2 linked regions of the Danio rerio genome follow. The protein of the gene in region 1 binds, or shares a complex with, the protein of each later gene. Links are inferred from orthologs where the notes say so. Each region holds a gene or a part of one and is shown on either strand. Other genes may lie near its edges.

Evidence for each region.
Region 2: the proteins of lats1 (region 1) and wwc1 are in contact, whole or in part, in a crystal structure (PDB 6J68), measured with the Mus musculus proteins. The link is inferred for Danio rerio from reciprocal best matches to the Homo sapiens genes LATS1 and WWC1. Residues at the interface, in NP_034820.1 of Mus musculus: Ala546, Glu547, Ala548, Pro549, Ser550, Tyr551, Gly553, Pro554, Pro555, Pro556, Pro557, Tyr558, Leu562, Leu563; in NP_740749.1 of Mus musculus: Asp17, Tyr23, Ile25, Asp26, His27, Arg30, Thr31, Thr32, Ser33, Trp34, Asp64, Val67, Tyr70, Ile72, Asp73, His74, Lys77, Thr78, Thr79, Gln80, Ile81.

What each region holds. Positions count from the first base shown.
Region 1 is NC_133195.1:1,307,078-1,323,902, reverse strand, and holds the start of lats1 (serine/threonine-protein kinase LATS1), read left to right. Parts: upstream 1-9,789; 5' UTR 9,790-9,946; intron 9,947-13,160; 5' UTR 13,161-13,235; coding exon 13,236-13,592; intron 13,593-16,825. Other genes in the region: hsd3b2 (3 beta-hydroxysteroid dehydrogenase/Delta 5-->4-isomerase type 2), read right to left, coding at 2,564-3,372, 3,542-3,731. UniProt on the Homo sapiens protein: Negative regulator of YAP1 in the Hippo signaling pathway that plays a pivotal role in organ size control and tumor suppression by restricting proliferation and promoting apoptosis.
Region 2 is NC_133196.1:40,166,213-40,182,464, forward strand, and holds part of wwc1 (protein KIBRA), read right to left. Parts: intron 14,852-16,252; coding exon 14,762-14,851; intron 11,879-14,761; coding exon 11,313-11,878; intron 6,282-11,312; coding exon 6,164-6,281; intron 1,621-6,163; coding exon 1,453-1,620; exon of another isoform or gene 1,119-1,452; intron 1-1,118. UniProt on the Homo sapiens protein: Regulator of the Hippo signaling pathway, also known as the Salvador-Warts-Hippo (SWH) pathway.

The sequences.
Region 1 (16,825 bases):
GAATCGCCGTTTTGCGCATTGTTGAAGAGGAGGATGAAGCTGAAGCTGCACCTGTCGAGTCCAGCGCCAGAACTGAAGCAGCCGCAGCGACTGATCCAGCTTCAGTCTGCCGTGTTCAATCTCTCCTGTAGGGGACACTCTGGGGTCCAGAAAGACCAGACAGCACAAAGCACGAATACGCACATTTATAACTCTGATATTAGAGATCATTTTATTTCACATCTTGATTTTTATTTTTTTTTTTGCATAGATATTTTATGATTTCAGCATCTTAATTTAGATTTATTTCTATGAAAAAGATGGGTTTGTTTTGACTGTAGACTGTACCTTCTTCCTCTGAGGGAAATATCACATGATTTGCGATTTGCATTGGTTTAAATTTAATATAAAACCGCATCTTTTCTGCTGGAGATATTGTTGTCCTAAAAACAAACAAAAGATATACACAAATAAAAATAAATCTTACACCATAAAGTGGTACGGTTCGCTTTTAGGTACCCTTTGATGGTGGAAACGACAATAAAAGCGTACCGAACGGTACCACTTAGTGGAAACGGGCCACAACACAAACAATATAGCATCGGGGGGAAAAAAAATAATAATAAACTGGGACTCAAGAGTTCACACTTAGCTGATGAGTGATTACAAAGCATGTTTGGCATGCTGTCCTGGGAGAGAGCCCTGAGCTCATAAGATCCTCAAGCCCAGGGCTCCCTCCCATTTGCAAGGCGAGAGAGGAGTTTGAGCTCAGGTAGATGGGGAGAACTTCCCTGCTGTAGTAGCTAATGAACAGATAGTGATCGCTCTTAAGAGATAACTACTGACTAGGAGCATGTCTATGGTGCTGGATTAGTCAATTAACTTAAGCTGCATGTTTTTGGATGGTGGGAGGAACCCGGGAAACCCACGTGAGAACGGGGAGAATGTGTGAACTCCGCACAGAAATGTCGGCTGGCTTGGTAAGGACTAGAACCAGTGACGTTCTTGCTGTGAGGCAACAGACCATCTAGGAAAGGAGGAGGAGTAGGGGTGGATTCTTCAAAACGAAGATGGCTGTGATATGGAGCTTAGGGTATTTAAAGTGGCTTGGGAATCATCTGATTGGTCAATCATAGATTGGATAATGCAGCACCGGCTGTGATCAATCATAAGCACGTGATCCTCTCGAAATTAGTTTATAAATAAACTTCACAAAATAAAAACATGAGTCACAAAATACAGAAAACAGATCATTTTATGGATATTGTTTGACAGTGTACATTAATCACAATATATTGTATTATTAATTATTGGCACGTTTAACCAACAAGGAGCCACAAAATGCCATAACCAGAGTTCGCACAGGTCATGGAGCTTTAAAAGTTCTCCTCCAGACATTGACACGTCACATATTTGTTTCCAAGACCTCGATCATCAGGGATTATATGTTTTATCTTGTTCTAATTTCAATCTGCATTTATTAAGATTTTCTGCTTTACCAGATTTTTTCAGTCATGCTGATCCACACCAGTTACACTGCAAAACGTGTTTTTCTCACTGAAAGGTTTAATTCTTAAATCAAGAAGCATTTTCCCAAACAAGCAGAACATTTCAGAAATAATGAGTCCAAATGAAAATAATCTGCCAATAAGCTAAATCATCTGGTTTTTACTTCCTTTAGAAATTAAATTATTTTCCTCAGTGGCGCAACAAGGGGGTATGCAGTATATGCGGCGCATAGGGGCGCCACACATGGGGGGGCGCCGTTGTGCCAAAACTATTTTTTAAAATTATCCTTATTAAAAGTTTCAAATAATAAAAATAAATAAATATGTTTTGTTAAAAAACATTATTTTGCATTTTAAACGAATATAATATTGTTATTGTTTAATTCAAAATCATTTAACACAATAACATGCAGTCCCACAGCCGAAAGTGTTCATGTAGATGTAACTGTTTAGATTTGCTTTTGTTTTTATCAAAATAAACTATCAAATCATACATAATGTCAAAAGTTATAAGATTAATCTGAAAATTTGTCTTCATTTATTATTAATTAATTAATATAAAATAAGAGGGATCACACAAAATTTGAACCCGCATACCCCTCAGTAAATGTGTAGTTGCGCCCCTGATTTTCCTCACCTATCGGCAGATTGATTAGCTTGTTTTAAAGGAAGAACTCACTTCATTATGACTTCCTATTCCTGAAAACAAGACAATATTTTTGCTCATCTAGAAAATGCAATTTGATTTAAGACTTTAGATATTTGGACTTGAAACAATTACTGTCTGGCTTTCAAGTCTAAATATTTAAAAACGCTTAAATCAAGAGGCATTTTCTAGACAAGCAAAAAAATAAGCCAAAAGGGGTGAATAATCTTATTTTCAGTGTGAGGTGGGATTATTGTACTAACACCACCAGCAGATTATTTAGCTTCAACACACAAACTCTGAACACACCACCATGTTTACATGCCCATATATGCTTTTCGATTGAAGATTTTATAGAGATGTGAATTAGAAACAAGGAAAAACTGAGCACGTTTTGCAGGGTAGTCTTAATCATAACCATCACGAGCGCTCAAGTCTTGTTAGCCAATCGTCTTTCAGCTGGTAACACCGACGCCAGCCAATCAGTAGTGCTCCTGCGTGCCTCCTCCCAGTCATATCGAGGACTGTACCCGAACTCCCTGCAAGCCTTTTGATAGGAGAAACTAAAAGGGGTGTTCACCATGGTCACTAGCTGCCTATTTAGGGGTGGAGTGAATCTCAGGACGCGTCGGAGCACGGCCTGCAGGATCTCCATGAAGAACGCCAGAAGATACAGCAGAAAGATGGGCAGAATGGGCTTGTTTTGGATGCTAAATCCTAAAGGTGACATGAGAGCATGGGTTAAGTCACAATAGCTGATGTGCGGCGTGTCGTCTGAGACGTAATAGAAGTTTCCCCCCACCACCGCTCTTTTCTCCGGGTCTCTGAGCGCTCGTCCTGCTTGCAGATGCGCCAGGGCGGCGTTTCCTACATACACTGGATTGACTTTTGCGCTCTGCTGTGAGAGTCGATGCTGCACGTTTCCACTGCGGATCGCATCTCTGAGTTTGTTTAAAGTGAACCTGCAACCCGGCCCGTAGATGAACATGGGCCTGAGAGCGCAGGTCGCCAGATGTCCTCCGTCCCGCAGCAGCTCTCCATTGGCCTGAAGGCAGATCTGCTCCGCCTCCAGCTTGGTTTTGCTGTAGTTGCTGATAGGATAAGAGTAGTAAGGCGTGTCCTCGTGGCCGTTGATGATGGGTTCACCACAGCGATTGGGACCCGCTACCTCAATGCTGCTGGTGTATATAAAGGAGGACACGCTTTGTTGGATGCAGGTCTCCAGCAGGAGCCGTGTAGCTGTCGTAGGAAGACAAACAATAGAAACACACTGTAAGAGTGCTGGGATGCACACAATCTCTTCATGTTGTCCCAACACAAATCGATTAAGTTAACTTCATCATTTTCACAAATTTAAGTTGCAGGTGTTAGGATTAAAACTTCTTTTATACACACACGAAACCCTTACCTTTAACATTAACTGCATGTAATTCACTGTATTCAACGGCTCCATTGTAATCAATGAGAGACGCAGTGTGGAAAACCAGAGTTGCTCCTTTACAAGCTCTTCTCAGCAGCTCTCGGTCTCGGATATCCCCCTCAATAACACTCACTTTAGTCTCTCCACGGCCATCTGAGCACACAGAGCAGCAACACATTCAATTGCATGCATTTTTGGACGCTTAAAAGGGTATTAGAAGAAAGGATGTCGGCTTTTGTGTTGTTTGTTTAATATAGATGCATGTCAGTGAACCGAACTCATACATTTAATTCAATTAGTTCATGATTCAAACTTATTTTCAGTGTTTTTATGGATAATGATTGGATTCTGGCATGCAGTAAACCATGATGGGCTCCAGTATGGTGAAAATAAATAATTTAGGTCAGGAATTGTGTTTTAATATGGGCTATTTCAACAAAAGATGAACAAAGACAGCCTCCTTGAAGCGATGGCAGTTGTTTTATATGATATAAATGATGAATTTTGCAGAACAGATTTTGTTTTCTGTATCCCTGCTGAAAAAAAAACTGCTTACACCAGCCTAGGCTGGTTGGCAAGCCTGGTTTTAGAGGGGTTTTGGCCACTTCCAGGCTGGTTTCCAGCCATTAACAGCCTGGTCAGGCTGGAAAATGACCAGCTAAAACCAGCTTGACCAGCCTAGTCTAAGCTGGACATAGCTGTTTTGGCTGGGATCCCAGCTTGGCTAGGCTGGTCAAGCTGGTTTTAGCTGGTCATTTTCCAGCCTGACCAACTAAGACCAGGCTGGAAATGGTTGGAAACCAGCCTGGAAGTGGCCAAAACCCCTCTAAAACCAGCCTGGTTGACCAGCTAAAACCAGCCAACCAGCCTAGGCTGTTTTTTTCAGTAGGCATATCCTTCACTTTCAGGCATTAGTGTCTATTAAATACACACTATAGTTTAATTGGACTTTTAGGCTGTATGTCGAAGCAAACACCTAATATAGACTAAAGTCTCTCTTTTAGGAAGAATGCCAACAAACAGAAGATGAGAGCACAAAACTAATAAAGATTAAAGAACTAATTACAGGATTGATATTGCAGAGCGTGTAATGTTCATGTCCACTAACCCTCAAGCGTCTGTATGAGCTCTGAGCGGATGTTTCTGTCCAGCAGCCGGATCTCAGACAGATTCTCCTCTTCCAGCAACAGTCGGACCAGCTTTTCTCCTAGAAACCCGCAGGCTCCCGTCACCACACACACCTCTCCTGACAGAGCCATGTAGAGCGCTGCGTTGAAAGCCTTCCAGAAAACACAGACATGAGAGAGGAGATTTTAGGAAACACAAACTCAGAATAAAACTGTTGGTCATTTTAATTTAAAGGATTAGTTCACTCAAAAAAATAAGATTTACTCACTACATACTCCAAACCATTAGGAGATTCTTTTGTTGAACACAAAAGAAGATACTTTGAAACATGTTAGAAACCTGTAGCCATTGACTTCAATAGAAGGAAAAACAAACCCTGTGGAAGACAAGTTACAGGTTTCCAACATATTTCAGGGAATCTTCTTTTGTGCTCAACAGGAATGTTTGATACAAGCAAAGAGTGAATAGATGAAAGATTTCTCTCTCTTTTTTAGATTTATTATTTCTATTAATCTATATTATATTATTAGTTATAAGGTTATTGTTGTGCAGAAGAGTAATCCAAATGCAGTTCTGAGCTCAGCTTGTGTACTAGTCTAGTACACAAGTGACTGACAGAAAACATTATTAGTTTTATTAAACATTATTAAAGTACCCTGAACTGGAATAATAAAGTTAAATTCTCTACAAACTAACATATTAAGATTCATTTATATAACTTGCATTCAAAAAAACTACAAACTACTCATTTTAAATGAGCTGAAACATTACAACTCTTGAGTTGTTTAACAGCTTAAGTTACTTATTTTATTTTCAAATCACTTACATTTGGAAAAACTAATAAGTTAACCTTAATTCCTTTATGTTGTCCTAACAAAAACTGAGCGGAAGCCAGCATTTTTACAGTGCAAGTAAAGTAAACAGTATAATAGTAATATTCACATTAACGAGGTTTATTTTGGTTCAAAACAAAAATCACAATGAAAATGTCATAATTAAACCAGTAAGTTACACCAGTGATCCAGCGTTTTTGTTTTTTATTGCATGAAATGTAAAATAAGTGTGGTTAATTACTATAACTGAAGCAAAATTAAGACTGTTATATTGACTCAACTAATCTAAATTGCATTGATTAAAGTAGCTGAAACAAACATTGTTAGCCTACTCAAACGCATCTTAACTCAGTTATTGGCATATAAAAATGTAACTAAAGCGAACACGTCACTTGTTTAATGTTGCCTAAAATTGGCAGCCAATTGTAAAAATAGTATGACGTAAACAATGGGTTTAAAAAGGCACAACTACAATACCTGAGAGTCCTCGGAGATGCTGAATAATCCGCAGACTGGGGTGTTTTTAAGGTTTGTTTTCTGCCAAATACAGCCTCGATGTCCTGAGACGATGTGCTAGACAGTGAGTCGAGTCTGCTCTTTTATATGGTCCTGTTTGCCGTTAAAATCAGCAGAGTAGATTAAATGTATTGATGGCGTCACGTGTTGTCGAACAGACATCAGGGCCAGTGTGGGTCATCAGGGAGATTCGAGACAATGCGGTGTCGAAACTCCATTAGCATACAAAACACCGCCGCGACGACAGGCAAAACTTCATTTACACTAGTAAACTATTTAAAACTGAAGGAATAAACCCAGGTACACCCATACGAACATTAACTATGTTTTTACTGTAGTAAAACCAAAGTAGCTACGAAATCAAGTAGCCCTGGGTCCGGTTTTTCTAAAGTAATCCACGGGGATTTTGGATAAGGGATTGGATCAAATCTTGAAAATGGGTTTTTCAAAAGAAAAAACGGATTACATAATCGGATTAGATCACGTAATCCAATCTTGGTTTTGATCCGAATCAAACCTTTAGTTTGGGTTTTTCAGATCTTTTTTTTTTGTAGGATCTGGATCACTTTGATCCAAAAAATCTGGATTAAACTGATCCCATCAGAAGGGTGGATTCAGAGTGGATTTCATGCCCAAAATGTAATGAAAACTTACAAAATTCATCAAATAATGCTATATTTAGATCATGCAGTATCTTACAAGATATCCTATTTATTCGTAAGGATTTAATTGTATTTGTTCCTCCGCCAGGCTACAGTAGGCTTTAACGTATTCAGCCTCTCAGTATAGGCCTACAGCAAAGTAGAAAGAGTTTGGCCCCATAAAATAATTCCCCAAACAGCTGTCAAAAATTGACCAAAAGCAATCAATTTTATTCGGTCTCTAATTGATATCTATATATTTAATCTATATATTCATCACAATGAAAAATATTTTAGTTTTCAGAATATTTATTAGTGATGCATGCAATGATTACAGAATAACTAGAAAAAAAAACGAAAAATGCAAAGAATGGCAATCGCTGATTTTTAAAATCACTTTCAACATATGCAAAAAAAGACTGAAAGAGCAGAAGCACAGCTCAGGAGGTTTTGACATTAAGTCTTTTTTTAAATTCAGTACATCTATATTTGAAACTTGTTATAAATATCCTCAATGTAGTGTTTGTGTTGTAGATCTCAGATGAGTTGTCTGCTGGAGGAGGATGGGGTGGGGTTTTTCTTGTTTTTAGTTTTTTTCAAATGTGTGTGTTTTCATTTCAAATAAAAATGAAGTTATATTGGCCCCAAGGTGCCTATTCTATTAGCTGCTCTTTACATATCTATAGTTCTACATTGTGATGTCCTGTTTGAGCGCTGGTTATCCAGATTTAGTGATCCTGAAAAGTTCCTATCCGGATCAGATTGATCCAATCCGATGTTGCTTTAAAAAAACTGGCTCAAAAAGTAAGCTGGATTACGTCATCACGGATGGCAAAAATAGGATTACTAAATCCAGATAAATTTGATCCGGATTAAACCTTTTGAAAAACCGGGCCCAGGGGCGCAACTGCACATTTACTGATAGGTATGCAGGTTCTAGTTTTGAAACCGAACACAACTGAAATAGTATGAAGTATAAAAGCATAATTACACTAAGCCTGTTAAGTCACAAAGAATTACTTCTCATCCCAACCCAAATTTCTTCTCAATTTAATTTTCCCCACTAAATGATTGTGACACCTTGACATGCCTTGCTTCTGTACTTTTTGCACATTTGTGAAAACAAAATGATTTATAAGGGAGTCCTAAAGGGCAAAAGAACATACGAATGCAATCACTTCCCACATGCGAGGTTTAAGGTCTGTCTTTGCATTAACAATTGACTGAAACAAAGACTTTAAAATGTACTGTGTAAAAAATAAACAGAGAAAACCTGCCTGAAATGTTCTATTTTATTAAAATGTTATGGGCAAACTGTTTTTGTAAACTAAAATAGTTTTGAGCAAAAAAGGCCTGATGTATTAATATGATGCAAAATCAAGATAGATGGCAGGAGTCACCAACCTTTTGGAAACTGAGAGCTACTTCTTGGGTATCGTTTAATGTGAAGGGCTACCAGTTTGATACACACTTCCTAATAACAAATTTGCTCAATTATTATTAATAATAATTATATAATAATAGATAATATTATTATAATAGATATTCATCTATGTGAAGGCACTGATCATGTTAATGATTTCTCACAATAGTTGTCAACATTGATTGGAAAAAGATAAATATCAATATGCAACACTTCACTTGTCTGAAATTGTTTTTAAAGTTTTTTAAATATATAACTTTATGTCATTTTCAATTTTACACCAATGCGAGTGTGATTTAAAAAAGAATACTGTAGCTTCAAAAAACATTAGATGCAGCTTACTGGTATGTGGTGCTATGGTAAGCTCATTTTAAAACAGGCCCACAGGCAATCATGTGATCCTCGCGGGCACCATGTTGGTGAATTCTGCTATATGGTATAAAAATGGATCTTTATAGAAGGATTAATAAACATTTCAGTTCCAAAAATTGTGAAAATTTAGTCAGGTTTAACAGGGTTAAGAATCATTATAATCAATTATATGAAATTCATATATAGGGGAATTTTTTATCCAGATAAAATTTTCTATTTTATCTGAAATATATTAAAGTTTGCATTTACATAAGCATATGTCTTGTGTGATCCCTCTTATTTTGGCAAATAAATAAATTAATAATAAATAATAATAAATTAATGACATTTTCCAAAAGAATTATAACGTTTGACCTTAACTGTACTGTATGCTTGATTTGACTGTTTATTTTGACAAAATTTTTACAAATCTACACAATTACATCTACATAAACACTTTACACTTGGCTGTGTTACTGCATGTTATTTTTTTAATGATTTTTATTTAAAATGTGTGTGCCAACGTATGCAACTATAACTGGTATATTTTTTATTTAATAAAATACAATATTTTACTCGTATAAAATGCTAAATGATTTTTTAAAACAAAACATATTTATCTTTATTATTTAAAACTTGCAATAAGTATAATTTCAAAAATCATTCTGAAAAGATGAATCCACTGTGTCACCTGATTGGAATACAGGTTTATTTACAAACAAAAAAACAACAATAAAAACCCTGAGCAACACATTAAATAATGTTTGTAGTATTGTCGGCAATAAAACACAAGTCAAAGTCAATTAAGAAATCAATACTTCGTTTTAAAAAGATGAATCCACTGTGTCACCTCATTGGAATACAGATTTATTTACAAAAAAAACAACAATAAAAATCCCAAGGAACACATTAAATAATGTTTGTAGTATTGTCGGCAATAAAACACAAGTCAAAGTAAATTAAGAAATCACTACTTTTTTTTATTTGCGTTTTCCACACTCTCTCAACTCTTTCTGATCTTTAAAATATGAATATTTATGTTACCACAGTATTTTCAAAGCTGTGCTTGTCTGCTGTTTCTGACGGCGCTTGCTCTCAAATGTTCTTTCATCCAATGAACAACTAATTTTAAGCGCTGTGTAACAGGGAGTATCTTTAACAAATCTACATTTGTGTATATAAAACTGCTACAATCAACATATTATTGCATAAAAACTCTTGTTATGCAACTGTGTCCATATAATAAAGCTGCAGGCGCCCAGAGGGGCCCCGGGCCTCAAGACGGCTCCTGAGGGGGCGGGGCTTAACAACAACATCCGGGCTCCTGTGACGCGCATGACAGCCGTTGTAAAACTCAAGACGACAGTAAATACCAAAGAGAAGCAGGCGGTGCGTCCACAAACACACGTATCTGTCAGACTCCGAGCAGGAGTTATTGATTATCGAACAGCACGGAGAGAAACACACCTGTACAAGCGTCATGCCGAGCTCGCATTAGCAGGTAGGTGGATGTAGTTCGTCTTATTATTCGGTGTGTGGTAGCGGTATGCTATCGCCTCAGCTTTAGGCCTCAGTCACCTGTTGGAGCGATTCATAAATGATTTATCAGGTTTAAAGGGATTTTATATGGTGTGAATGATGGTTGGGGGGTTTAAAGGTGTTGTGTGGCGATAGTAAGTGGCTAAGTGAGCTAACGTTAGCACTGTGTGAAACTACTGAACGCTGGGACTGTGTTTCAAAAACCTGTTGAGGTGCCTACTTAGTGATGCTGTCTAGGTGAGGATGGGGACTCGTGCTTAAAGGGATTTTTCATGTAAAAAGTTATCATTTATTCATTATTTAAGTTAATTTACCGCAAGCGGTTCCAATTCTGTTCAATATAAAATATTTATTTTAAAGAATGTTGGAAACCTGTAACCATTGACTAGTAGGGAAAACAAAAACTATGGGAGTCAATGGTTACAGGTTTCCAACTTTCTTCAATGTTGATCTTTTGTGTTCAATGGAATAAACAAACACAGGTTTGAAACAAGTGAATGGAAAGTAAATAATGACACATTTATAATTTTTGGCTTGATTATCCCTTTACAGTAACCCGTTTATCACAACAGTAACTGCTTTTGGTCACTCAGTTGGCTATTTATTTATAGTCTGCATTGTTTATGGGCTAGTGAGCTTTAGAAAAGCAGGATCTAAACCGTGAGCTATTAACATAACTAAAAAAACAGTAAAATCTAGAAAAAGAAACGCAATGCATGCAGCATACTAGGCTTAATTTTCTTAACTTTTTTATTATTTGATTATGCAATTTTTTTTTATTTTAAATAAAAATACTTATTGATTATGCAATATTAGAAATAATGTTTATAGCAGATAAAGTTCTCCCTAAAACCCACTCTGCTTCTGAAATGTTTCCATAAGGATGTAGGCTTTCAAGATTATTAATCAGTGATCACATTTAAAGATCTTTGACATTATATATTTTTTATCAGTGTTGTTGTTAGTTGTAGGAGGACAATCCCATGCAAATGTCATTCTTGCCATGGAAAAAAGAGAGTTTTCACCAAAGAACATACACCGTTTCAGGGTTTTTTTTGGGTAAGCAAGCATTTTACAGTACTTTAGAAATACCCAAAATTGCATGTGTCAATGTTTTCAAACTATTCAATTTGATTTACCGAAGTTACACAAGTGGCAATTTCACATCTGTCACATCTATAATGACACTTTTTCCTCATAAATATTAAAAATAATAAATTAAATAAAATCTATAATTTTTGTTTTATCGAGCGCCAACTCTTATCCTTTTGATTATTATTGTTTTTTTGGAGTGTGCAGATTAATTGAATTTGAATTAAAATCGAAAAGCAATATGGTTTAAGTGTCTTCCTTACATCCTTACAATAACATATATTTAAATTAATGCAGTTTAATTTATTCATTTAAAAGTTCTCCATGTTTTTATGCAAAGTTAACATTAACTAATAACTATTTAGCAATATGGTTTAATTGTCTTCATTACATCCTTACAATAACATTTGTTTAAAAGTTCTCCATGTTTTCATGCTTTAATGCATACATTTATAAATGTTGTTTTGTGTAGCTTTTAAAACTTTGAGGCATTCTGATTGTCTTCAATTAATTATTTTTTGCTATTTCTCATTGCTATAATATTTTTTGTTCATGCTACATTGGATTTGTGAAAAATATTCTGTTTTGCTTTGATTTTCAGAAGACTTGTAGATGAGTATCTCATTGTGAGTGTCGATTAAAAAAATTACATCAAAATATAGCGTTTTGTAATGTTGGTGTAGTTACATTGAAAATAAAAATTAACCTTGATTAAGACCTCAGAATTCAGAAGACATTTTATTGAACATTAGAAAACAAAATTACATTTAAAAAAATGTAATTATTTTGTGCAAAAATCCTGTTTATTATAGTTTTTTATAGTCTTTTTTTTAAAGAAAGGTTGGGCTAAAACATATATATATGTATATAACTAGAGTTTGCTTGTTTTGACACAATTTATTAAAATATGTGGCTGAGAAATAAGTTAATTTTAATTTTTAATTTGGCAAGTACAAAACATTTCACTGTTATTACAGAAAATTGTTAGCGTTTTGCCCTGTGATTGTCTGAAATTTGATTGATTTTGTCTTAAAAAGGTCTTAAAACATCTTAAATTTGACGAGATGAACCCAGTTTTTACCCAGACATTTAAAAAGAGTATATTTTAGAGCAGTAATCACAATACCCTGACACCGTGGTGTTTTTATCCAAGGTTATCAAACTTATAGCAGCTTATACCATGCCCAGTCCCAATTGCGGTTGTGATTTTAAATCGTAACATTGTTTAATAGCAATTTTATTATTTATTTTCTTGAGAATTAACTGATTATGAAAGGAGTCTAAGTGATATTTAAACTTGTATAATTGTCATATGATGTGTTGTTGTTGTTATGCTTGTGTTTTTAGCGGTTTGTATGGATGTATTTATGTCACCAGTTTTCAAGACAATTTTTTGCTCTGCAAACAAACAAGCAGTGAAAATTAACTCGCTATTTATTTCCGCTCGAGTGTTCCAAAAGTTATAAGTTTATTAATTCTGATGAACACCAAAGAAGTTATTTTGAAGAAAGCTGGAAACTTGACATCATTAGTAGAAAAAAAGCAAATACCATGAAAGTCGATGGTTACAGGTTTCCAACATTTTTCAAATTTATTTACAGATTTAATTACAAAGGTTTGACAAAATTAGTGATTTAATTATTTTTAGATTTTTCTATTATTTTTTTGGGGCTGCACAATGGCGCAGTGGGTAGCACGTTCGCCTCACAGCAACAAGGTCGCTGGTTTAAGCCTTGGTTTGGTCAGTTGGCGTTTTCGTGTTGAGTTTGCATGTTCTCCCAGTGTTGGAGTGGGTTTCCTCCGGGTGCTCCGGTTTCTCCAAAGACATGTTCTATAGGGGAATTGGGTAGGCTAAATTGTCCGTAGTGTATGTGTGTGTGAGTGTGTATGGATGTTTCCCAGAGATGGGTTGCAGCTGGAAGGGCATCTGCTGAGTAAAACATATGCTGGATAAGTCGGCGGTTCATTCCGCTGTGGCGACCCCTGATGAATAAAGAGACTAAGCCGACAAGAAAATGAATGAATGAATGAATGACAATATTTGTTTATTTTTGTTGATGACCGCTCATCAGTGTTTCCTTCAGTTTGCAGTTGAAACAGACGCTGGATTCTGGACCGCTTCGCTCTTCACCGCCTTGGCACTTAACATATGCTTTTACATGAGGAGGGCCGAGAAACCCGAGGGATACAGACAAATGCGACCCAAGACGTTCCCTGCCAGCAACAACAGCGGCAACAGTCAGCAAATGCTGCAGGAGATCCGAGAGAGCCTGCGAAACCTCTCCCCGTCCTCCAATGCGTCCAAGCCGGAGCAGAGCTCAGGGAAGGGCCCGCCGGATGAGTCCCGACAGCAGGGGCGCAGCACCAACCCCAGAAACTCCCACCACCACAGAGCCCTGCAGGAGATCCGCAAATCCCTGCAGCCGTTCGCCCACGACAGCTCCTCCAGCGGAGACAACAGCTCCGCAGACAGCAGCAAACACACACTCCAGACGCAGGAGCCCGGCTTTGATGAGGTAATGCAGCTGGTTGAGTTTTAAAGGGGCAGTTCACACAAACATGAAAATTTGCTAGGATGTCAATTTCCACAAATTTCTATAGAAGTGGGCCTTGTCAAGCATGGTTTTACACAAATTCCAAATTGGTCCTCTGCTTTTAACCCATCCTAAGAGCATGCACACAAATACACAGTGAGCATTACTTCCAGAGGAATGGGAGTTGAACCTGCAACCTTTCGATTACAGCCTTTAGGGTAAGCATTTATTAAAACTATTTGTTATAATCAGAATTAATAAAAACTTGCAGAAACACTTTGATTGACATTCTTCCTTTGTACGTGTCATCAGAGAGGGAAAGCCCCGCCCACTAGTGAGTAGTGACCATGGCTGTTTCTCAATACCAAGTACGCAAAGTTCAGACTTGGAAGAACGAACTCCCGATGACAGAAATGGAACAGCAGTTTACTTTATAGCGTCACTTACCTCACCATGGATTTATCGGTTTCACTGTACATTAACAATAAAATGATTTAATTGTATAAAGCACAGCCTTATAAATAATATTATATTAATATTTATAATATAATCAATATTTTTTTTAATTTTAGAAAATGTAAACAAATCCATATAAATGTAAAGTAAAATGTGTTATTATACACAGACTCATGTCTTTGATTATCAGATTTAATAAACTACAATGGAAATTATACAAGTATAAAGTACAAGACGTGCACAATAAGAAATAAAGATAACGTTAGGCAATTTGGTAAACAAAGACAAACCTCGTACAACATAGTAACATAATTAAAGACTATTATAAACCCTAGCAAAATAACACTGACAAAATAATACACCTGAGAACAAATAATAAATATAAATGACCAAAAACTGTCCATTAGATATGCAAAAGATGAATCAAATATCATGTTTTAACTACAATGGAGAGATGCGGTATATCCGAGATAGACTGGCCGATTAAAGCAGCTTACGGCAGAGGAGGTGATGACTAAGTTCTCGCTGACAGGCTGAGGGTCACACCCCATTCACAAGGTGGCGTCAGCGTCAACGCTTCCCATTCACTTTGAATGGGCGATGTCAGGCATTGCCGAACTACATTGTGGATCCGTCGGCGCCACTTCAGAGGCGTTGCTCGCTGCAGAAGTTGGGACTAGCTCAACTTTTCAAGCGCCGATTTCAAGCGTCAATCAAACAGATCGCTGTATGCAAATACACCAGCTAGACAGTGGCCTAATGCTGACTGAGTTTCATTGGCTGACGCTGCTATGACGATCGCTTCATCTCCAACTTCCGACACGCCTTCAGTCAAGCATTGTTGTTGAAGCCCTATGTGAATGGGGCATCAGAGTCCGCATAAGCTGAGCCACATCGCCAAAGGCGCGCTATTTTTATAAACAAACTGTCGATTCGAGTTTAAAACAACTATATTATCGCCTGAAAAACTCTAAAAACTTTATTTGGTGACAACAGAGGAGTATTTTAAAAATCGTGCGGGTTTTATCTTTCGCCATTAGCTTTCCCTGCTTGGGCTGCAATGCATTCTGGGATACCTGCGCTTCAAGTTCGGATAAAAGGGACGGAACAAGTACACATGCGGGAATTTTATCTGTACTCTGGCAAGATGTGAACTTTTGAATTGGAATAGTACTTCGGTAACGGTTGATGACTTTCACGAGGACACAAGAACGAAAGTACAGACAAGAATGCATATTGAGAAACAGCCCATCTCGCCTTCAATAGCAAACACAGCCCTGAGTGAGAAGCAGCCGTTCACTATTAGAGTGTTTGAGCTGCTGAAGATAATGTCAGCGACTGAGAGGATTATAAATATGGAGTTTTAGATGAAGCACAAATGAGCACTGTAGTCTCTATAGACTGCATTCTGCTGAGACGCTTCTTTTCACATTTTTGCATAAAATAGTTGCTGACATGGCATTAAATAAAAAATCTGTGCTGTGCTATGTAGGTCAATGGTTACAGTTTTCCACCTTTCTTTAGTATATCTTCCGTTGTGTTTAACACAAGAAGTCAAACACGTTTGGAACAAGTGAAAGATGGTTAAATGATGTCAGAATTTTCAGTTTTGAGTGAACTATCCCTTTAATCGGAGCCGAATGTACGGAAGTGAGCTGTTTTTGTGTCCTCTCAACCTTAAACGCGGTGTATCAATCATTTGTATCAGGAATGTTCCCTCTGTCACTTTATAATTTGGATTATTTGAGGAATGACTGTCGTGGTATGTTGCCGGACCAGCACTGGTTGTTGTAGTGAACTCGGTGACGTGTCATACTCTAATGCTGTGGGTGTGATGGTGGACATATTTTGTCTATATGATTTACTGCTCTGCATTTCTTGTGTAATTGCCAGATTTGCATATTGGTTGACAAAACAGATTTTGGTGTTTTTTGGCAGACATCTAGACCAAACTTTAAAGGTACAACTTTTACGGTTTGTCATTAAAATAATAATAAAAAAAAATACTAAAACAAATATTTTGCTGACTTGGGTACTGAATTATGCTAAAAGCTATACAGATTGTTCAAATCAAGAGGAATAGGGTATATGCGGAGCTAGTGTTTCTTCTCATACCGATAAACATCTGGTGAACGGTTAATGTGACTTGTTATCCATTTTATACGGTTCCTTTTACAGCATTGATGTTGTAATGTAATCAAAATATTTTCAGTTAAATAGATTTTGACATTCATTTAGTTGCTCAAGCGTAAAACGAGACAAAAAGTCGTTTACTTGCACGCTCCCGTCAGAATCGGCAGTATATCGCAGAAGCGTCATCGAATATACTGGGTTAAAATAAATGCTTATATTATAAAGACATGGCAGGGGGAAATGTAATTTAATGCAGTTCTTGTACAATCTGAGACCCACTTTATATCATATATCACTCAGCCAGTGGAGATCGCTTATTTTTAAAGAAAACAGACCTTAAACAAGCCAATTTTGCTATGCCGCACAGTTCACCGGAAGCGCTTAACCTAGGTTACTGGCAAATTAAAAGTCCTTTAGCATACTTCCGCATATACCCTATTATTCAATTAAATTCAGGTTTATTTGTATAGCGCTTTTACAATGTAGATTGTGTCAAAGCAGCTTCACATAAATGGTCATAGTAACTGAATCAGGGTAGTTATCAGTTTTAACTAGTGAGATGGAGTGTTTCACTTGTACTACCATACTACAACTGTTAATAATAAGGGTTCCATCCATTAACATGA
Region 2 (16,252 bases), on another chromosome or scaffold:
CACACACACACACAGGCAGGCAGGCAGACAGACAGAGCACGCTTAGCTTAGTTAGGGCTAACCTCAAGTACTGTGTGGATATCTGTTATGCTAATGTACAAAATAAACCTGATTTAACTTCCACAAACCGGGATTGAAGCGTCTTCTTTTATAATTGTTCTGACACGCGGCTGTGCTGATGAAGTAAAGCTCAAGTAAATTGCTGTAATTAATTACACACATACTCTGTTTTAAAACACTTTAAACATGTGAAACTTACTCTTAATCAAATTTGATGATAATTGCTGATCCTAGCGAACAGAACAGAGCTTTTATTCCCGGTTGCTTTGCGTATGTCTTCCTAGTCTTGTTGACATATACACGCGACTACCGGAACATGTTAATGCGCGCAGCTGTCAATCAATTCGGTGGGCGGGGGGATCGCACACCTACGTAATGGTGCGATCGATTTGAAAACAGCTCCAATTGGCAGACCCTTATTTTTGTAGTTAAATTTAAAAAAAAGGGCTGGGTGTGTTCATATCACCCCAGTATGACGGTCTATACACTATACCAACACACAGATCTGTCCTAACAGCTTGAAAAGTAGATTTTTTACCATAGATGCCCTTTAAAGGCACTTATAGCCTACAACATCATACATCATATGTTAAAATTGAAAGCAGACAAGACAATTCTTAACAGTAGGGATGAAGTTTTGCTGTTTTACTATTATGGATAAGGCTTGCTAAAAGTTATTATGACTGGCTACTTCATATACCATTATTTTTGTGAAAGCATTACTTCTTTGCTGTTTAACCTGAACAAGGAGTATAGATTTAAACTGTCACACTTTACAATAAGGTTCATTAGTAAAAGTTAAGTATTGCATTTACTAACATGAACAAACAATGAACAATACATCTACTACTGTATTTATTCATGTTAATAAACATTAGTTAATGAAAATACAGTTGTTCATTGTTAGTTCATGTTAACTCATGGTGCATTAACTAATGTTAACAAGCATGGACTTGGATGTTAATAATGCATTAGTAAATGTTCAATTATGATTAATAAATGCTGTACAAGTGTTGTTCATGATTAGTTCATGTTAGTAAATGCATTAACTAATGAACCTTATTTTAAAGTGCTACCATTTAAACATCAAATTTTTGTCTTAAATTGCTGGTTAGGAACTGTCCCGACTTAGATGCCTTCCCCTTATCTATTGAATTCAAAAGCTAAAATGTGTCAATCCGAATATCTAAAAATCAAGTAAAAATGTTGGTTTGTTTTCAACTTCAAGGAAAAAAGTCAAAATTAAAAGTTTTTTTGCAGCAGCCGAATGGGTTAAATCTATTCATACAACTCAACCTGCTCCTCTCGATGCTATATCAAAATTACATCTGATTAAAATTAATGACTCCATCATGTTTAAATGAAGCTGGCAGGAAGAGAGCGCTTTCTCACATGTTCTGGTTGGCTGGCAGAGAGAGCGCGCTATAGTTGGAGAGCTGCATTACGAACACGGTGAACCTCTTCTCTTTCACTTCGTACTTCAGGCCAAGTTTGATCTGAGCGCTGCTTGCTGAGCTCCCGTCATCAAAAGCCAGCAGCTGCTCAACTGGAAGCCCAGGCCTGTGGAAATGAACAGAAGCACTTTACAGCCAAATCAGGGATGTCAGTTTCAAAAAATTCCAATGAACTGTGGCTGTTTAAATTAACAATAAACTAATCAATTAAATGTTAACCTTAATTTGGGACACTGAGTATGTTTAAATAGATACCAATACTCAGATTTTAATATGATTAAGATAATACTCTGATTAAGAGTTGACCATGTAAACAGCGATTTTTGTTTACCCTAATAACTGACTAAAGTTATAATCAAACTAAACAGAAATCTATTTAAGACATGTGGAGTAGGGTCAGGCCGTTAGACGATGCCATCGTCCATCGCAGATAGCCAATAGAAAACACGTTGCTGAGCCGGTATCGCCAATCCTCCGCCCCGTTTCCGTCGCAAACCCATTCGCGAAACACTAATACGTCTTAGTATTAAAATGGCCTTTTAGAACGACAAAGATCCACATCCACACCGTGTTTTACCTAGCATTTCTAAACAGCCCTCCGTCAGCTGAAAACGCACATCATGTGACAACACACACACAGCCACGCACACAGACAGCCACACACACTGTCATGCGCTCGTCTGAGCTCTAGTGAGCAGTGCACATCGGACAGTCAAGGATGTACCGCTGGATCACGTCTCACTATAGTTGTTAAAGGTGATATTAAATTAATCTTGTCTCTATCTTACGACTCTTTGGTCTTTTGAATCTATCAGGTAACGTGTCACAGCATCAGTACACTGCTTCAGTCTTTCACTTTCACACTTGTACTTAGTAATTTTAGTGAAAACCTCAGATACTGTTTGTTGTGCACTTTTTTTACCGACCAACCTTCCGCTGAAAAAGTGATTGACAGGTGGTAATTTGTGTGCAACTTATCTTTATTCATTTATGATTTGTTTATGGGTAAAATATGCGGGTCAGGTAGTTGAAACGGTAGGCTACAAATAATTAATTCGTTATGAATTAATTAATTATTCATAAATAATAATTCACCTCCGCCTATGACGACGATGCCATCGTCCATCGCGATGTTTTACATTAGACATCGTACGATGCCAAATTGGTCGACATCGCCGAACCCTAATGTGGAGTATGCCAATTTTAGTCACATTATTGAAGACATGTAAACACCTTACAGGGCTCTAAATGCACCTTTCTTCTTGGTAGCACCGGTGCTCCTAACTTTAAAAATTCAGACGCACAGGTCAAAATTTAGGCGCACCCACCAAAAATTATGTTAAAATATAAAATATATTTTGATTTCGCATAGATAAAATTTCGGGCACATATCCGACCAAAATGATCGGAATTTTCGAGCGCTGTCTTAAGCAAACTATTACCGTTTGGTAGTACTTTTCACTACATTTTACGACAGGACACACACATGGCAGTTGTCAGTTGTTTGATGACCAAAAAAAGAAAAGCAAGAGAGCACTTTTTGGTGCAAGTGGAAAACAATGAGTACGTTTACATGGACACCAATAAGAGTCTGATTAAGAGTCTACCATGTAAACAGCGATTTTTGATTAATTTAACTCGATTAAGGTCCTAATCAAACTCTCAATCAAACTATTACCGAAATGTACGATTTTCACCGTATTTTGCAACAGGATGATATATATATACACACACAGCTGTTTGACAATATTCTCTGCACCAAGTACAAAAATTCCACAGATTTCCTGAAATAAACGTTGAATTTTGAGATCCATGCAGCTCTTTGATAATGTGGAATGGATTGAATGGACACAATATTTCCACTTTCTTTTTTGAAAAGAGAAGAGAACAAAGCATAAATGGTTAAATTGCTTTGCATTTTTTCACAACTGATTATTTAATATGCATCGGTATCTTTGCGTGACAAATGTTTTGAATTCTTTGAAGAAAGAGTAGAGAACCAGTGAATGTTCAACAACTTTACTAATACAAATCTTGTCTAAGACTTTAAAATTGCATAAATTGCAACTGCAAAAAAATAACTAAAAAAAATACAAGTGTGTCAACCTAAAGTGACCTTTTTTGGCATCTAGTACAATAGCCTGGTCTTTAAAATAAAATTTGAAAAGTGTCTTTTATATCACTGACTACGTTTACATGGACATCAGTAATCAAATGATTTACCTTAATCTGAAGAAGACATTAATTTGATTAAGGTGTTTACATGAGTTGCTTTTTGAATGTTCCTTTCATGATTCCGTTTTACATGTTACAGCACATAATTCGTCATTAATGACGTCATTGCATCATCTCACTACCTACAGTGCATCCGGAAAGCATTCATAGCGCTTCACTTTTTCCACATTTTGTTTATGTTACAGCTTTATTCCAAAATAGATTAAATTCATTTATTTCCTCAAAATTCTACACACAATACCCCATAATGACAATGTGGAAAAAAGAGTTTTTGAAATTGTTGCAAATTTATTAAAAATAAAAAAACCTGGAAAAATCACATTTACATAAGTATTCACAGCCTTTGCTAGATGCATTGATGCTGTCACGGTTGTGGATCTATCTGCTCTTCATTTGAAGTGTCTGCGTTGTGTGACAGTTCATTATCATTTATGGTATGTGTTTCTAAGTGTGTGTGCTTCTCTCTCTGTGCTTGTGTGGGACTCGCGTGCCTGTCAGTGGGTGTTTGTTTTCGTGGCATCAGCTGAGCGGTCACATGATCCTTGTTACCGGAACTATTGCGTGTCACCGCTCGGCTGTTAATCAGCGCGCTACAGGTGTAGCGCATTTTTGTGCCTATAAATGTTCAGCGTTCCTGTCTCACTTTGTCAGTTCGTTGTATGCTCACGGTGTTTTGTCTTTTGTCAGGATCCTCTCGCTGATTCTCGCTGGTGGTGAGTGGCTCGGTTGCTTCCTCGTTTCACTCTCAGATGTTTCCGGTTCCTTTGATGATGACTGTTTGATTCACTCTGTTGACGAGTGTCATGAACTTTCTATCGGCGCTGCCGACCCAGATCGCTACTGTTATTCCTGCTAAAAGACTGTGTACTTCCAGCCACTCACCATTTTCTCTGTCTTTTTCTGTGATCTTCATTAAAACACTTTCACTTGCAATTGGGTTCCACGTCCTGATTATTGAGCGTCACAGATGCACCTTTGGCAGCAATTACAGCCTCAAGTCTTTTTGAATATGTTGCCACCAGCTTGGCACACCTGTCTTTGGGAAGTTTTGCCCATTCCTCTTTGCAGTACCTTTCAAGCTCTATCAGGTTGGATGGGAAGCGACAGTGTCCATTCATTTTCAAATCTCTCCAGAGATGTTAGGATTTAGGTCTGGGCTCTTGCTGGGCCACTCAAGTACATTCACCAAGTTGTTGTGAAGCCACCGCATTGATATTTTGGCAGTGTGCTTTGGGCCATTGTCCAGCTTTAAGATGAACCGTCGCCCCAGTCTGAGGTCAAGAGAACTCTGAAGCAGGTTTTCATTCAGGAGATCTCTATACATTGCTTCATTCATCTTTCCCTTTATCCTGACTAGTCTTCCAGTTCCTGCTGCTGAAAAACATCCCCACAGCATGATGCTGCCACTATCATGCTTTACTGTAGGGAGCGCATTAGCCTGGTGATGAGCGGTGCCTGGTTTTCACCAAATGTAACGCCTAGCATTCACTCCAAAGAGTTCAATTTTAGTCTCATCAGACCAGAGAATTTTGTTTCTTATGGTCTGAGAGTCCTTCAGATGCCCTTTGGCAAATTCCAGGCAGGGTGTGGCTTCCGTCTGGCCACTCGACCATACAGGTCTGATTGGTGGATTGCTGCACAAAGGTTGTACTTCTGTAAGGTTCTCCTCTACAGACAATTCCTTTGTCTTTATGCTTGATTTGTGCTTTAAGCTGCACTGTCAACCCTGGGACCTTATATAGACAGGCATATGCCTTTCCAAATCACAAATTTTGAAGAAACAAATGAGTTGAATCTATTTTGGAATAAAGCTGTAACATAAAACAACGTGGAAAAAATGAAGTGCTATGAATACTTTCCGGATTCACTGTACATTTCCTTTGGAGTTTCAAGTAATTCCAGGTGTTTCATTTTTACTTTCATTCAGGAACATTTCATGAACGTCAGCCGTGACAAACTAGATATTGGATGCGAGTACGAACTGCTAGAAAAATGTAGTTTTTATGGAATTTGATAGTGTAAGCCATATAAGGACAAAAAAAAAAACTCAGCATTTTGCAATGCAGGTCTCTCGGTTGGTGCAAAAAATAGTCAAACAGCTGAGTGTTTAGACTATCCTGTAGCAAAATGCGATGAAAATCAAACACGGTGGTAAAAACATGTCTGTGATGCACTTCAATAATGTGATTAAAATTGGCATATCCACATGTCTTAATCCAATCTCTGTTTAGTTCGAATACGACCTTGAGCATTGTCTTAATCATATTAAAATTGGATTATTAGTGTCCCCATCCATGCACTTATTTATAAGTTGTGCAGATAAAATGATTACTCAATTAATCATTAGCCAATTAATCAATTTGTCATTTTAAATACAAATCCATAATAAAAGGTCACAAATTCTTGTATCCTACCTTTTCTCCGAGGGCTCATATACACCGCTGTCACCTGCAACCGATTCGTCAGACACTGCAGATGTTACTCCTGCTTTCTTCGATCCAGGCCCTGATCCTCTTGTTTGCGTAACAGCATCTGCATGCACAGAGAACAGTTGAGAAGAAATGAGACACGAGTCACTCTGGATTGGTGTCAAGTTTCGACTGAGTTCACCTGCTGGGCTGTTGGGGGGGAGTGAGCTGTAAATCTACACTATCGGACTAGACATTCAGAAAGCTGATCTGGATTCAGCTGGAATTCCGGGCTGCTGATGAGTAATAAAGGGTGCCCATGATGAAGATGAAGACTTTTTTTAAACATATTTTATACCTTTTCAAGTAAAATTTGAGAATATTTTGTTTTCTACAATTGTTATGTGTGTGGATATACAGTTGAAATCAGAATTATTAGCCGCCCTGAATTATTACCCCCCTGTTTTTTCCCAATTTCTGTTTAACGGAGAGGAAATTTATTCAACACATTTCTAAACATAATAGTTTTATTAACTCATTTGTAATAACTGATATATTTTATCTTTCCCATGATGACATTAAATATAGTAAATACAAGACACTTCTATACAGCTTAAAGTGACATTTAAATGCTTAACTAGGTTAATTAGGTTACCTAGGCAGGTTAGGGTAATTAGGCAAGTTATTATATAACGATGGTTTCTTCTGTAGACTATCGAAAAACAATATAGCATAAAGGGGCTAATAATTTTGACATTAAAATGATTTTCAAAAAATAAACACTGCTTTTATTCTATTCAAAATAAAACAAATAAGACTTCCTCCAGAAGAAAAAATATTATCAGACATACTGTTAAAATGTCCTTGAGGCCGTGAATACAACATTACATGAAGACAAAAATGGCATTTTTGAGGTGAATTATACCTTATAAATACAGTATGTGACTCTTTCAACACCATTGGTGTCCACGTTGCTGAACAATGTATGTAAAACAATGTGAAGACATGCACGGCTGCCATCGCTTCTCTCCTGAACTTGAAAATATGATTGGTAGAATCGTAGAAATGCTGGCTTAAGATCGTCTAGCGGGTCAAATCGAGATCGCAATCTTGTTTTGATTAATTGTGCGACTCTAATGCTGGGTAACAGGTAAAGCTGTCAGATGAAAGAAATCATTTATTAAAAATGCAATATTAAAAACCATTATGCTCAGAAATATGTTGAAAAAGTCTCTCAGTTAAACAGAATTTGGGGATTTTTCTATAATTACAAAATGTATTAAATTAATTTGAAAAAGTTTAAATTTAAGAGGAGAGCGAATGGAACTAAGAGCTAAAAGACTTTAACTGTAATAAACAAAATATGCAAAGTACAAACAACAAAATCACCTGCAGACTAACCGATTTCTCAGCTGAATACTCAATGAACCATTTATTTTTATTCTTACTCTTTTTATTCTGTTTATTCACTGGATTATTACTATTGAGTCACATCACTTCAAATTTTACAGCCTGAACATATTGTTGTAATAAATTTTAAGATCTGCACACAGTCATGAGGGTTTGCCTGCAAGAGTTATGTCTAGACCAGGCTATGGCACCAAGCGACTAGAAACAGAATCCACTATAATCAGTAAACCCTTATTTCTATTTCAGACAAGCTCCAAGCGCTACTGACAGAAGGACTAATGGATCTGCAATGGTGGCGTTGTTACATCCAAGTTTCCAGCCATGTCTGATGTAGACACAGGGTAACATTTTGCATCAACAAACCTATAAAACTAGCTATCTATGCTATAGTAAATGACTGTTACACTGAAAAACTACATTAGGTTATACAAAGTTTAACTTAATATGTTTAGTCAGTTTGATTGATTTGAGTATGTCTAGAAAAGTTAATTTAGTTAACTTAAAAAATTACTGCTTTACAGTTTAGTTTTATGGACTATTAGTATGCTTTTATTTTACACAATGTCCAGAGAAATGCTTTACAGGCAAATATGTTCTGTATTCTAAAAAGGAACTTTACTAAAGCACATTTTTAACATTTTCACATTATCAATGTTTTATATTTGCCCTTTAATGTGCATTATGCAGGTTTTTGCTTAGATTGTGTGCACTATAGACGAATTACCAGTTTGTAAACATTCAAGATGCGCAAGCAGCGAGGTTGCAGAAAAAACAGAAGCACTAGCATTTACAGTGAGGAATTGACATCCGATATGGTACAGAGTTTGTTGTTGCATTAGAGATAAGTTATATTGATAACATATTATGTATTTGGATCATGACCGAAAGGACAAGATCTCGGATACAAGCGGCCGAAATGAGTTTCCTTCGAAGGGTGGCAGGGCGCACTCTTATGGATAGGGTGAGGAGCTCTGACACCCGGGAGGAGCTCGGAGTAGAGTCGTTGCTCCTCCACATCGAGAGAAGTCAGCTGAGGTGGCTCGGGCATCTGCTTCGGATGCCTCCTGGACGCCTACCTAGGGAGGTGTTCCAGGCATGTCCCACCGGGAGGCGGCCTCGGGGAAGACCCAGGACACGCTGGAGGGACTATGTCTCTCGGCTGGCCTGGGAACGCCTCGGGATCCCCCCGGAGGAGCTGGAGGAAGTGTCTGGGGATAGGGAAGTCTGGGGTTTTCTCCTAAGACTGCTGCCCCTGCGACCCGGCCCCGGAAAAGCGGTAGAAGATGAATAAATGAATGAATTTACATAATGCTTTCAGCGTATTATAACAGCTTGTCAACCAGTGATAAGTACAGTTATTCAGCAAAATTAACGTTAAAGTGAGCGGCGTTCATCTGACAGGTCCATTTGCGATAGAACACTGCCAATGGATTTTGGATAAGACGAAATGGCCAAGCATCCAGCCCAAAATATACAACTATCTCATTGAAACTCCAAGTGATTTTACAAGAGAGAAGCTAAAGGCCTACAAGTCTTTGAATCCCAACAATTTTGTTCTGTGGTCATGTGCAAGAAACAATGTTCCATGACTACCAGATTCAAAACTATGTGGTGCTAAAAAACGAAGGTCTGCCTAGCCAAAGACAAGGAAAAAAGACAGAACTGTGCAAGGCCTGAGCAATCATCAACAAGCAAAACAACTGCATTCTGACAGGGAACTGCACCTGTATGGCAGGGTTTGTGAACTTAGATTTTTATATTTCATTCTAAGTATTTAGTGTCCGCAGTTTATTTAACCATATTTAACTGTTTTTGCAGAAATCATTGCTGTAATTAAAAATGAGTAATGTGTATAATTCAGCATTATTTTACCTAAACTCATATAAAATGAGAACAGAGTCTAGTATTTTTAATTAGGTCCTCACTCCATTCAGCTCTTATGATGGCTGTTAGCCAAAGACAGGCACGTGCACACATAGAGCTCAACCTGTGCAGTGCACATGCCCTTTCTAGTCTTTGACAGAAAGTGCCCTTCCAAAATGATCAAAAGTGCCCCGGTGGCACCCCCCTCCCCCCTCTACCGCCCTTCAGTAGGAACGCGACAACACCGCTCTTCAGTACGCGCGCGACCTCAGGTCTTCAAAAAATAAAAAATAATAATTTCCTGCACATGCCCTTTGGACAGTCTCTGCACGGGCCTGGCCAAAGACATCTGCAGTTGGCATTAAAAACAGTGTGGTGTACGGTAAAATTTAAGTTCTCTATTTTTGGACTTGCAATTTTGCCATCCTACCGCACAACAAGACATGTTTGCTATTGCAACTGGTCTTTTTTGCAACAGCTATGCGCGGTTGAACCCATGTGATGTCATGTGTAATGTAGGTTGGTAATACCCCTATATACACATATTTATCATTTCCTGTTACAGTGTTTGTTACTTTAAATTCACAAATGTAAATATAGCAGAATTTGTGTTTAAAAATATATCCCAGGTTTACGAAACTAAAACTTTAGGATAGATATAATTTTAATCAGAGCAAAATCAAATCGAAACAATATGAATAAAAATCTCAATAAATTGCCAAATTGATCAGAATGCCAGCTCTATTTTCACCTTGTGGTACACTTGGGAATGGATTGCCAAAAATGCATCTTAAAATGTTAATTGCAAACCCCTGAGACTTTTGTTCATCTTTGGAAAACAAATTAAGACATTATAGATGTTTTATCTGAGAGCTCCCTCATCCTCCATACACAGGAATGGTCCAAATTAGTTACACATTACTGCACAGTGTGCATGAATATGCGCAATATACTGACACTGAGGGGTAGAAACTGTTGAACAAAGTCTTTGTTTTTGTTTTTGGTAACAAAGAAAAACAAATTTGTAGCTTTGTAACTTTCGTACCTCTGAGTTTGAGGATGCATTTTGGTACTTTTTTCAACTTTGAACAACTCGTAAACCTTGCTGTCTATAAAAGTTTAAGACAATGTCTTGAAACTAAGACATATTTGGTATTTTATCTGAGAACTCCATCATCCTCCATAATAAGCAACTGTCCCAATTTGGTATATTTTACTTCACTGTGCGCATAAACATGCGCAATATACTGACACTGAGGAGTAGAAACTGTTAAATTAAGTCTGCATTAGTGTTTTCGGTTACAAACAAAAGTATTTTCGTAGCTTTGTTACATCTGTAGCTCTGTTTTGAGGATGCTTTTTGGTACTTTTTTGGACTTTGAACAAGTCGTGAACGTTGTTGTTTTTGGAAGTTTAAGACAATGTCTTCAAATTAAGACATTTTTGGTATTTAATCTAAGAGCTCACTCACCTTTCATAGACATCAACGGTCCCAAATTGTTTTAAATTACTGCACAATGCGCATGAACGTGCGTAATATACTGATACTGAGGAGAAGTACCTATTGAATAAAGTCTGTATTTTTGTTTTCAGTTACAAACATTCGTACATCAGCTTTGTAACATTCATTGACTTGGAACAAGTCTTGAACCTTGCTGTCTATGGAAGATGAGAGAGCTGTAAGATTTCACCTAAAACATCATGATTTACTTCTTCATAGACAAATGAGAGTCTCGGGGGTTTGGAAAGACATGAGGGTTAGTAATAAAGAATCCAATTTAAATTTTTGGCAGAAAAATTACCCTTGGTATTCATGGACATACATTAACAAGCGTTCAGCGGATTTGATTTTGAGTGTCGTTTGAAGGTTGTGCCCACATACCTTTTGAAGACTCTACAGCCATAATGCTTTCTTGTTTGTTGTCCTGGTAGTTCAGCTGCCCCTGCTGTTGGTCCTCTTCTAACCGGAGCTCCATCAGCCTGGTCTGCAGATCTAAATCCAACTGTGAGGCCGGACCAGAAAAGACCTCTCCCGAAAGGAAGGAAGCCTCAGTAACAAGAGGAGAGCAAGGAGGAGACAGGGAAGACAGTGAAGAACGTGGGGACAGTGAGTTCATTGAGTGAGGTGTCTCTGACAGTCGCAGAACTTGGGTTCTTTGTCCCACCCCGGGACCACCCCCGATTTGCACAGACGAGGATGAGACCTCATTCTCATGGATGGTAGTGATGGAACTAGAAGGCCTGTAGCCAGAGGTGCTTCCCTCCTGCAAAATAGAGTCCAGTTTGTTCTGGAAGTCAGGATCGCCTAGTTCGGGTTGCTCCAGGTAGACATCGGTGAAGCTGAGCGAGGAAGTGGAGCCCAAGCTGGAGTTGGCCAGGGATCCCCGACTGGACGTCAACGATCCACGGCTGCTGCCCGAGGAACATGACAGAGTGCTGGCTGACAGACTGGAGTTTTGACATTGATGGAAAGAGACAGAAGGAGAGCAGGGAAGTTAATCGGAAAGCAGCTCCGGTTCATCTCTATTTCAAGCCTCTACATCAAACGCATCCTGCTTTAAAGCAAACATGCTTCTTATGGCACGACAGGCTCGTTAGTGAGACACACAAGAGACTGCTCCTCTGTGCAACAGGCCCTTTGATGTATCTCAACTAGACGCCGAGGATGAATTAGGCATTAGTCATAATAAGAAGTAAGGGCAAAGCTATTGTTAAAGTTAACAACAAGAGCTTTCGGGTGGCATAGTTTTAGAACTTCAAGAGTCTGATTCTTTAAATAAGGCTAAGCAGTCTTATTGCAAAGTCATTACATCATATATAGTGGCATGCAGTTTCCTCTTCATTCTATTAATTAAATCTGCAGCAAAACAAGTTACTTTTTCGCCTTTTATCTTAATATTCACACTATTAAAATGTGTTTAAACTTGATGCGCAGTAAACCAGCGTCATATATTTTTTCCTGTATTTTACATTGTAATTACACTAGTGCATTTTTTGTTTTAAACCAAATACATTCAAATGAAAATGATCCTCATACATACTTGCATTTTTACAAGAAAAATGATCTCCATATACACTATACAGTGTAAAATGCATAATATGCATAAAATGTTATTCACGCTCTTTGGGTATGTGCACATTTTTGCCACTATTCGCACTTCCTTTGTCCCAGTTGCATTTGAGAGTGATTTGACGAACCCAAGAACCATACACAATAGCCTAGAACAGGGGTGTCCAAACTCGGCCCTGGAGGGCTAGTGTTCTGGAGAGTTTATGTCCAACTTGCTTCAACACACCTGCCAGGAAGTTTCTAGTATATCTAGTAAAAACTTGAATAGCTAGTTCAGGTGTGTTTGATTAGGGTTGGGGCTAAAATACCTGGAAACCTGCCATCCAGGACCAGGTTTGGACACCCCAAGCCTAAAAGACCAGTCAAAGAGTTATTGTACAGTACATCTGCAAAGTATTTATAGCTCTTCACTTTTTCCACATTTTTTTTGTTACAGCCTTATTACAATGTGTATTAAATTAATTTATTTCCTCAAAATTCTACACACAGTACCCCATAATGACAATGTGAAAAAAGATTCTTTGAAATTGTGCAAATTTATTTAAAAAAAAACCCTGAATAATCACATGTACATCAGTATTCAAAGCCTTTGCTCAATACTTTGTTGATGCACCTTTGGCAGCAATTACAGCCTCAAGTCTTTTTGAATATGATGCCACAAGCTTGGCACACCTGTTTTAGGGAATTTTAGCCCATTCCTCTTAGCAGTACCTTTCAAGCTCTATCAGGTTGGATGGTAAGCAACGGTGTACAGCCATTTTCAGATTTCTCAAGAGATGTTCAATAGGATTACGGTCTGGGCCACTCAGTTCCTGCTGCTGAAAAACATCCCCACGGCATGATGCTGCCACTACCATGCTTCACTGTAGGGATGGTATTAGCCTGGTGATGAGCGTTGCCTGGTTTTCTCCAAACATAACTCCTGGCATTCACTCCAAAGAGTTCAATTTTAGTCTTATCAGACCAGAGAATTTTGTTTCTTATGTTCTGAGAGTCCTTCAGATGCCTTTAGGCGAATTCTAGGTGAGGAGCGGCATCCGTCTGGCCACTCTACCATACAGGCCTGATTGGTGGATTGCTGCACAGATGGTTGTCCTTTTGTTCTCCTCTCTCCACAGAAGAACGCTGGAGCTCAGACAGAGTGACCATCGGGTTATTGATAACCTACCTTACTAAGGCCCTTCTCCCCCGATCACTCAGCTTAGATGGCTGGCCAGCTCTAGGAAGAGTCCTGGTGGTTCCGAACATCTTCCACTTACGGCCCATTCACACGGGGCATCAGCGTCAACGCTTGACTGAAGGCGTGTCTGAAGTTGGGGCTAAAGCAATCATCATAGCAGCATCAGCCAATGAAATTCAGTAAGCAGTACGCCACTGTCTAGCAGGTGTATTTGCACACAGCGATCTGATTTGCTGACCCTTCCGTCGGTGCTTGAAAAGTTGAGCTAGTCCCAACTTCTGCAGCGAGCAACGCCTCTGAAGTGGCACCGCCAGATCCACAATGCAGTTTGGCAACGCCTGACATCACCCATTCAAAGTGAATGGGAAGCGTTGACGCTGACACCCCGTGTGAATGGGGCATCACGGATGATGGAGGCCACTGTGCTCATTTGAACTTTCAGAGCAGCAAAAACTTTTCTGTAACCTTCCCTAGCCTTGTGCCTCGAGACAATCCTGTCTCGGAGGTGTACGGACAATTCCTTTGTCTTCATGCTTGGTTTGTGTTTTGACATGCACTGTCAACCCTGGGCCCTTATATAGAAAGGTGTATGCCTTTTCAAATCATGTCCAATCAACTGAATTTATCACAGGTGAACACCAATTAAGCTGCTGAAACATCTCAAGAATGATCAGTGGAAACAGAATGTACCTGAGCTCAATTTAGAGCTTCATGGAAAAGGCTGTGAATACTGATGTGATTTTTCAGGTTATTTATTTTGAATAAATTTGTAACAATTTCAAAAAATCTTTTTACACATTGTCATGATGGGGTATTGTGTGTAGAATTTTGAGTAAATAAATTAATTTAATTCATTTTGGAGTAAGGGTTTAACATTTTAAAAAATGTGGAAAAAGTGATGCGCTATAAATACTTTCCGGCACAGTAAAAAGCCACTCCTTTATTTTCAAAAGTCTGGGTTTTGATTTGTTTACACTAAACACCAATATTTCCAACTAAATCAAGGTGTTCCGCCAATATTATAATATATAAAGTGTTATTTGCATTGTCAGGGTTTTTTAATCTCAGGTTTGGAAGATACCTTTTCAGCTGGGTGTGCAGGGAAGACGCCACCCTCACCGTCTCTTCCAGTTCCTTCACTAGTTTGTTTCTTCTGTAGTGCAGCCTCAACCTAAACAAAGCAAGAGAGAAAAAAATGATCATTGCTCATTATTATGGTTTATAATTTGAACAAAAACATACCTCCTCAACAAAGGCTTGGTGATAAATTTTCAAAAGCAAAAAAATATATATATATATTTATTTATTTATTTTTATTTTCAAATAAGTATATATTTAATTAACAACTTTTAATTCTTGCAAAGTTCCTACAGAATAAAATAGTTCAAATGAACTCAGTTTAGTAATTAACCAATGTCTCTATTTTAATAAAATGACGCTGGTTTGCTATTAAACAGCAGTGCTAAAGAAGGTGCTCATTGTATTCAACCTAGATCCAGCGTTTGTGCGGCTCAGGTTACAGGAAGAGTGCAGACGCCAAGCTAAACGAGGATACAGTATCTAGAGTAGAGAACAAGGACCCTGTTCAAATAACTGAGAGAGAGCGAGTCAGAATAAGATCAGCAGAAAGAGTGAAAGAATGAAAAGCCTAATTGGTTCTCTCACCTGGGCAACCTGATCTCATTATACAGTCTTTTAAAAGTGCAAGAGCAGAAGTGGTAAACTAGCAGTCAAGCAGACTATAATAAATCATTTGCATGCATGACTGTCAATGCCTGCCATTTTAGGCAAAGATTTGCAAAACCCAGCAGCACAGTAATCATGGCTGGGACTTGCAGCAAAGTAAACGAGGGACAAAAAGTATGCTGGTTTTGCATAATGCAAAATTTCGTCTGCGAACGGGCTCGGCACATCAAGTGGACATTTTTGCATTTTAAATAGGAGTTTCGAGCTGGTTTTGATGAATAATTATTGAGCAGACTTTTCTTGGCACTGAGCCATTAAGAGCACAGCTGTAGAGTCCCAGATGGAAGCCCTGGTGTGGCTGCACAATAATGGCATCTTTTAGGAATGCAACGGTTCTCTTTAAAAAAAAAAACTATTATCTTGTTGTTCTCCCACGGTTGGGTGCACCCTGTGATCCGCGGTTCAGAATATGCATAATTAATATTTACTTGTTAATTAAAACAACTGCAACACAGCTGTTTCGCCTTTGTACATTTCCGATTACTTTTCACGCTCACTGCATGTGCGAAGATCTGTCCAATCACCTCTTAGTAAGTAAATCTGTTGTTGACATCACATTTCCTGTCGGCGTTGGTGTGTGCGTGTGGAGTTTCTGCAGTGTTACCAACTTAGTAACTTTGTCGCTATATTTAGCGACTTTTCAGAACTCCTTAGTGACAAATAAAAATAAAAAAAAACGCCTAGCGACAAATCTAGCAATTTTTTGTGTGTTACTGGAGATTTTTATAGACTTTTATGTGTCCATACTGTACCGTCCTTACTCTTCTCATCGAGCAGAGTGTTATGCTTATGGAGAGCACTGATAGGCGGCCCAGTCCTTGTAAGG